Linked DNA regions of Oryzias latipes. The protein of the gene in region 2 purifies or fractionates together with the protein of the main gene of each other region. This does not show direct contact. Links are inferred from orthologs where the notes say so. Each region holds a gene or a part of one and is shown on either strand. Other genes may lie near its edges.

Region 1 (3,500 bases), on a different chromosome or scaffold from region 2:
ATGAGCTGGTATAACAAAAACACTGGATTAACTTCCAGAGCATTAAGATTAGCTTTTCTTTTTATGTTAAATCATCAAAGTATGTTGGAGGGCTGCTTGCTCTTTGAGGCTGCCTCACCTGCAGCGAGATGCCATCGGTAAGGCCAGAGTGAGTTCGAGCCATCATCCCCAAGACCCTGGCTACCTGGCTGGCAGTCACCTCTCTCACGCCATACTGGAGGATTATGTTCCTGCATTCATCCAGACTGGAAAGAAACAGATTAAAGCTGATTGTTGTGGCAGAGCTTCTCCTGAGAGGATCCAAACAGACGTCAAATTAAATGACTAATGGATGTTACTAATAGAGAACTGCTTTCAGGGCTCTGCAGCATTTCTCACAGACCATCATTCCAAATAGTTCTACATCTGAAAGGACAGCAGGATGCCACTCACAACCTGGATTGACTGTTTTTGGGGGAATTATGTCAGCTTTATTAGAGTGAGAAACTCACCTAGCACAGAAGCCATAGCCCACTTCCTGAATGAAGTCGGCAAGAGAACTCTCCATGGTGGTCTTGGCCAACTCCCCCGAGTCTGGTAAGATCCTGTCCATAGGAATGTCCCGTTTTTCAGGGTACAAAAGTGGTGCGAGCACCACAGGGCAGCGCTCCTGGGGAAAATCTGAAAAACAGCATCATTTCTGTTTGATTCTACAAAGTGACAGATGCTGAGGTGTCTATGGATTGTACTGGACCTTCGTACCTCGGCAAAGGGTCTTCAGGAAGGCGTCAATCTGCTCCTGCCCTACCCCACTGGCCCCCTTCTGACCGAATAGTAGATGGGAAAGCAGCAGGTGCAACACCTCTATAGGAATATCCTGGAAGCCACCTTCCTGGTTTCCTCCAAGATCTGCGTCGACGTATGAGCGGAGGAGGTCCGGGAGTTTCTGCTTGATGAACTGTGCAGCTATAGCAAAATATCAATTCAAAATTCAAAACTTTCTTTGTTTCATTATCAACACCTGAAATGTTATCCAACACTGAAGCCAATAATCTCATTCTCTACAAACCCAATAGCTATGCCGATTAAAATTCAAACATTTATTAGGTTAATGAATGTTAAAAGAAAAATATTCGAACATAATTGAGGACATAAGAAAATAACTGATGGCAGATTTTCTCTTTTCCCTTTAACTGTCTCTACATTTAAATTGCAAAGATAAATGACACACTTTAAACATCAGAAGGTTTAGGGAAAAGCAAAACCACTTACAGAAACCTCGAAGGTCTGTGTTGCTGGAACTAAGCAAGGCAAGGCCAAAAATCACCTGAAATTAATTAAATCATGTTAGTTTCTACAGGAAACCATCTGGAAAAAGAACATTTTGGTAAAACATAACTTTTTAGTCCAAACAACCTTAAATCAAAAATAATGTCATGACTATAAATAGAGATCAGTAAAATGCAGTTGATGGTTGAACCCACTCACCTCCTGGACCTTGCTGAGCTTGAGAACTTTACTGAGCTGAGCGAAAAGGTGGGCTGATGGTTTTAAACTCTGAAAGACAGATCCAGCACAACATGTCAACACAGCTGGGAAGGAATCCTTAAATGTAAAACCATGTTTTTAGGTGCTAAAAGTAGGGGTGAAACGGTACACTAAAATCTCAATTCGGTTCGGTTCAGAATTTCATACGGCTTGGTTTGATACATTTTCTGTATTATTTCGGTACAAAAAGGCAGAAAAAAAATCACTTACAAAGTGCATTTAATGGTTTTATACAACGATAAATAAAACTGACCTATGTAAGTGATCTGCTGTATAAAATAATACAACTATTAGCTGTCTGGAACCAAAAACTGGATAATTACCACTGGCCTGAAAAGAAAAAAAACATTTTAACTTGCACATTTTTTTCTCTTGTAGACCCAATTTTTACAGTCGGGTGATGCCGTTTTAAGTGCGTTAACAGATTGGATGTTTTACTGTGGCATACGCTATCTTCGTGTAACAATAAATGTCGAAACACAGCATTATCCAATTGTTTTTTCCTTTCATGCAAACACGGTCCAACTATGTGTACCGTTCCACCACTAGCTAAAAGTAAAACAACGTTAAGGTCATCAGTCTTAAAAAATGTGCTCAGTAATTTAAGATAAAAGAAATTCACGTTTTCATTCTTTTTACCACAGACAATGGGCTTTTTTTAAATAAATCTGGTGTTGCAATAGTTCATTTTCTGCAATACTGTTACATAATCTCATCTGATTGTGACAGAGTAGCTGTAAGCGTCCTTAACACAAGCCTAAATGGGCAAAGTTGACCCTTCAGGACAAATGTGTGCGTGCATGGGTGTGCTTTTGCGTTTCTTACCTTCTGGTAATGCAGAGGATTGTCAACGGCGTAACACAGAGTGGAGATAAAGTTGGGCTTTGAAATCAGCGACACACACTCCTGGATCAAAAACTGTGTCTGAACAATCAGAGGACAGTCAGGCAAACGACAGAAAATACATTCAACGTAAAAAAAAGGTCAATTAATTATCAAATCAAACTTTATTTATAAAGCACTTTTCATATAAAAATATAACACAAAGTGCTTTACATTAAAACACAACAAAATATAAAAACAAGCATGACGATTAAAATAAATAAATAAATAAAAATAAATAAATAGGGCCCCCCACTCCTTTCACACCTCCCACCCCCTAACTGATGGGAAAAGACACAGAGATATGGGAGTATTATGGGAACCGAGTAAATGCTCTAAAAAGGTGAAATTGCTTACCTGGTGAAAGTCCTTTCCACTGCTTTTACCATCGCCACTGAAATCCACATGGGAGAAGAGACAGCGTAGTAGATGCCTGTCTGCCTCAGGTCCGTGACGATTTACAATCTACAACCAAACAAAGGTTTTAGAGCAACTGTACCACAGCTGGCAGACTGAGCAACATGTTACAACTAAGACAAGGAGAAAGCACTGAAAATTCCTTTTGCTTTCTTATTTTGCTCAAACAAACATCCAAAACATGATTAGACAGACGGACCAAGCTGACCAAATCTTTAGGTCATTCTTCTGAGAAAAAGGATTATTTCTTGACAAATACATACACACAACAGATCTTTTCTGTTATCTTTTTTTAAATTCCCTGATAATACAATCATCTATCAGGAATGCAGGAACTATCTTTCAATGAAAAATGTAATACTTTTGTTTGTTCTGATCCAAATGGTTCACAGAAGATGCAAAGGCCAATTTTTCTAACTAATTTCTTTAACAATTCAACATGTTTGAAAAAAGGATTTCAAATCCAATTAAAATGTTTACGTTTTTCATTAAGCTTACTAACACAATCAGCTTGTCTCTTGTATACTCCCACAATGCATTGTACTACAATTAAAAACAATTCATCCGTTTTTTTTAAAATAATCTACTGAACAAACATGAGACCAGTAGGAGCAGTTTTAAAAAAAATGGAAAAATAGAATCAATATTTATTATTTATCTAAATCGAAACATCT
Region 2 (4,094 bases):
TTGCCTGTTTTCTTTTTACACTGAGAAATTCCAGAAATCAGGAAGAATTCCCACTGTGTTTTTGTTTCCTGAGTCACATGACAGCTAAAGCAACAGACAGGCAAACAACCATTGATCTTTATTATGGCTGTATATTGCTTTGGGAATGGATGTGGCACAAACATGATGGTGGCAAAGCCAAAACAGGTTCTCTAGAAGTACATTAAAAATAAATGGCTTGATGAAAGAGGAAACAGATTAGTTGTGGAGCTAAACGTCATCCTGAATGAGGAGACAAAAGTCAACCAGGAAGTTGTGTTTTAGACCAATCAATGGGTAGGTCTCTCAAAAAATAGATTTTGTTGACAGTCTTTCTTTTATTTAATATTGATTTTTTAGATACTCATTAAGTTCTAAAAGTTTCTTTTATTTGCCACTATTGAGGAAAGCATATACAGTTTAAATTATAGGGAAACAAGGCAAAATAGAGATGGAAACTCCCAAAACTGTTGTGGAAATATAATTTTATGTATTCGTTTTTTTTACTGGTAAAAAAATTGTATGCACTCGATTGTCCAAGTTTATAGTGTGTGTGTGTGTGTTTTTTTATCAGGCTACCTGTCCAGCTCCTACAGAAAACAAAGCGACAAAGCAGGCCCACCAGTTTACAAGCCGCATGACATGGTATCAAAGGCTGCTGTCCGAGAAGCTGTGGAGGCCTTCCTGTCCAGATCCCAGGCTGATCTGGACCAAGCCTTACCTCTTCATGTGGAGGAGTCTCTAACTTATCTGCAGGATTACCTGCTAGATATCTGTCATAATTAAACTCAAAATGTTCTTGTCTTTTTTTTATGCTGATTTTTTTTTTTTTTAATAAAAATGAACTATATGTTAAAAGAAATAATTTATTAATTTTGTTGTGATTGTACATGTTTTGGAGGCCTTCCTGTCCAGATCCCATGCTGATCTGGGGCTAAAGGCTTTACCTTTTCTGCAGGATCCCCTGCTAGATGTTGAATTCAAAATGCTCCTGTACTTTTTGGTGCAGAATGTGTTCTTTTTTTAAAATCAATTATATATTAAATATGGTTTATTTATTTTGCTATGTTTGTATTATAAAATGTTTTAATGAGTTTAAATATCACTCTTGAATAAATTTTTTATTGTTTGTATCACTGTTGAATACATTTTTTGTTTTGCCCTGAAATACCTTTGTTTATTTTACATGATCTTCCTCCTCCTCCTCCTCTTCCTCCTTACAGATTGGACCATTACATCATTAGCTTGGACTCAGTGATAAACAGCTCATTCCTTTACGTATAGATATTTTCCAAACAACTGGCGGTAAATTTAACCAGAACGTAAAAGTGCGGTGTGGTGACACGGTCCAACACCTGGTTGAACCCTCTGCTCGGTGAACCAATAAGACGCTTCGCTCTTATCGGCACCGAAAAAAAAGTCCTCACAGTCGCCATGATGATATAGCAGCGGAAACGGAGAAGTAGCTAGAAAACAAAAGAGAACACGCAGTTGTCCTCGCGGATTGGTATGCTCTTGCAGGTAAACATGCCATCCTTTCGGTTAGGAGTCAATATAGGTCTATTATTTGGTCACGGCGTCTCCAAGATGTGTAAATCGCCTCCGTCGTGCCACCAAGCTAGAGCTTATTTTTGTGGAAAGGCGCTAAGCTTCAAATAATAGGAACATGTTAGCTTTTAGCTAGTAGGCTAAGCTAAGCTAAAGAGCTCGCCATTTCTTTTAAGCACCGCATGTTTATAGTTTATTTTTGTTTTGATGGTTTTAAATGGTATGTTCAAATTTACATTTAAGTGCAACTGTGAAATTTACCCGAAAAGTTGTTAAATAACGCTAAGTAATGTGTTGTGGCCTCGTGTTTATCATGCGCAATTGTGGTTTGCCATTATGTAAACAAAAAGTGGTAGATAAAGCTACAAAATCTGTTGATATTTTTTTTTCAGGGTTATTTTGGAAAGTTATTGTGGGCTGTAAACGCAATAAACTCCACGAACCCCTTTTCTTTCTCACAGGTGGATAAGGTTGTTGCTTTGTTATGACTAGTTCGATAGCTTAAATTAGGTTAAGCTAGGCTAAAAATCAGTTAGCGACAGCGAGCATAATCGCCAAAACCTCGTTGCATTTTTACTGATATCATACTCTGTTTTCTAATTCTGCTCAGTTTTATCCCTTATACTGGAACATAGTTTTCAGGTTTGTGCAAAAGCGTTGACATGTATTTTTATTGCCTTTATGTAACAGCTGTTAATCAGTGTTTGTGGTTTATGTTTTGCTTCGGAAATGATAGCAGATTGTTCATGATTGGCCAGATGATGAAAACCTTTAGCGTTCTTTGAAGTTCATATAATAAGATGTCACTTCATAAATAAAAACATAATATTTGGGATTTCATCCTCATTTTTGTGTACTTTTAGAAATAGTAACCCTATGAATGTCTCACTTTTTCCATTGATGGGTTTTTAACATGAATTGATTTCTGCAGTGCTATAGGAATGCCCAAGGAAAAATATGACCCGCCGGATCCGAGGCGGATGTACACAATTATGTCCAGCGAGGAGGCAGCAAATGGGAAGAAGTCATACTGGGCTGAGCTGGAAATCAGTGGTGAGTGTCTTTAACCTTTGTAGACACATCTGCTCCTTCTGAGTTTTTGTAGTTTGCATTAAGATGAGAAAACAAAAAGTCATGTTGTATTTGTAAGCATATTCAACAAAATTGGAATATTAAGATGGGTGTATTGTTTGTGTATAGGTGTAATCCTTCATAAATGACAGACCTGATTATTTCTGTTAGTGCAGCAGCATTACACAGTAGTAATTAACGATTACCGGTAGTGAAAAAACAAAACAACCTAAAGCTTTTAGTCATTATCTCCACTCTGTGATTGTTGTAAGTCTTATTCATTGGAGCACACAAGAGCATAAGATGAACTTGTAAACAATTATTAAAAGATAAAAAATTGTGTTCAAATTTGGGGAAACTGTTTTAATCACCTCTAAACCTTTGTGGTCCATTCTTTTGTAGAAGTGTAACAATTATTCGATGAATTGATTTCTATTCTTACGATCCAACCAAATGAATCTGTCTGAGGCAAGTTGTTAATCGAATCAAATCCCATCAACCTCTACGATAATATCGTTTAAGAATGAAAGAAATCAAATCGACATTGGAAAATACCATTTGGATTAAGGTTTATTTTACTATAATGTGAAAAGCACCATCACAGAGGACAACACGCATGTGATGGCAGCAAAAAAAATAAAGTCATCATTTCAGTCCAGTGTGTGGAAACACTTTGAATTTTGCAAAGACGTGACTATTCAATGTGGTGGAATTATCTTAATAACGTTCCCTTGGGATTATTTTGATGTGGAAAAAAAAGAGTGGGCTGAACTTTATGAAACTAAAATGTGAATGATTTGTTATTAAGTCTTGTTTACTTTTTTGTTTGTACACATATTTAATTTACACTTGATTATCTTGCAAGAAATACAAGGAATCTAGAAAACTTCACCTGATCTGTTCAGTACTTTAGTATTTCTTTCTGAGTCACGCTGGTTGAATTGTTGGCTAAAGATATCTTGGACCGATTTTAGGCCAGTGAATCGGATCTTATTGGATTGTTCTAAATGAACCAATATCAGTTTTGAATCATATCTGCAACTACAAATTATGATATGAATTGAATCCTTGTTAAAGTGAATTGTTACACCCCTATTCCTTTGCAATGGATTGCACGGATGCAAAGATGCACTTTCTTCACGATTCGCTTCAAACTTCCTTTTTTGGGCCATGGTTTTATTGCCCTTTGATATATGATTTGTGAATTACAAAACAACAACAAATAGCAAATAACAATGAATAAAAACATTTTTTGGAGGGTTTACTAAGCCTGGTGTGATGGAATTAAACAAGAAATAAAAAAAATTCCTCTTGAATTTAACACCAAAGTGTTTGACACTTTAAACGTAAGCATGCTGGTATGCCGTAGAAATGCAACCATTCATTTTCCACACAATTCGGTCTCGCGGCATCCCAAGTAGATTTTATATTTTCAAAATGAGTTCAGTCAGAAATGT

The links. Proteins that work in one complex are often made in the same cells at the same time.
Region 1: the proteins of CCR4-NOT transcription complex subunit 6 (region 2) and cnot1 purify together in Homo sapiens (affinity purification with mass spectrometry; 5 studies listed by BioGRID and IntAct, with this or other methods). This does not show direct contact. The link is inferred for Oryzias latipes from reciprocal best matches to the Homo sapiens genes CNOT6 and CNOT1.

The regions. Positions count from the first base shown.
Region 1 is NC_019864.2:25,892,733-25,896,232, forward strand, and holds part of cnot1 (CCR4-NOT transcription complex subunit 1), read right to left. Parts: intron 2,875-3,500; coding exon 2,767-2,874; intron 2,452-2,766; coding exon 2,353-2,451; intron 1,537-2,352; coding exon 1,468-1,536; intron 1,307-1,467; coding exon 1,252-1,306; intron 946-1,251; coding exon 742-945; intron 661-741; coding exon 492-660; intron 246-491; coding exon 119-245; intron 1-118.
Region 2 is NC_019868.2:16,541,072-16,545,165, forward strand, and holds the start of CCR4-NOT transcription complex subunit 6, read left to right. Parts: upstream 1-1,294; 5' UTR 1,295-1,539; intron 1,540-2,497; 5' UTR 2,498-2,507; coding exon 2,508-2,619; intron 2,620-4,094. Other genes in the region: simc1 (SUMO-interacting motif-containing protein 1), read left to right, coding at 593-804. UniProt on the Homo sapiens protein: Poly(A) nuclease with 3'-5' RNase activity.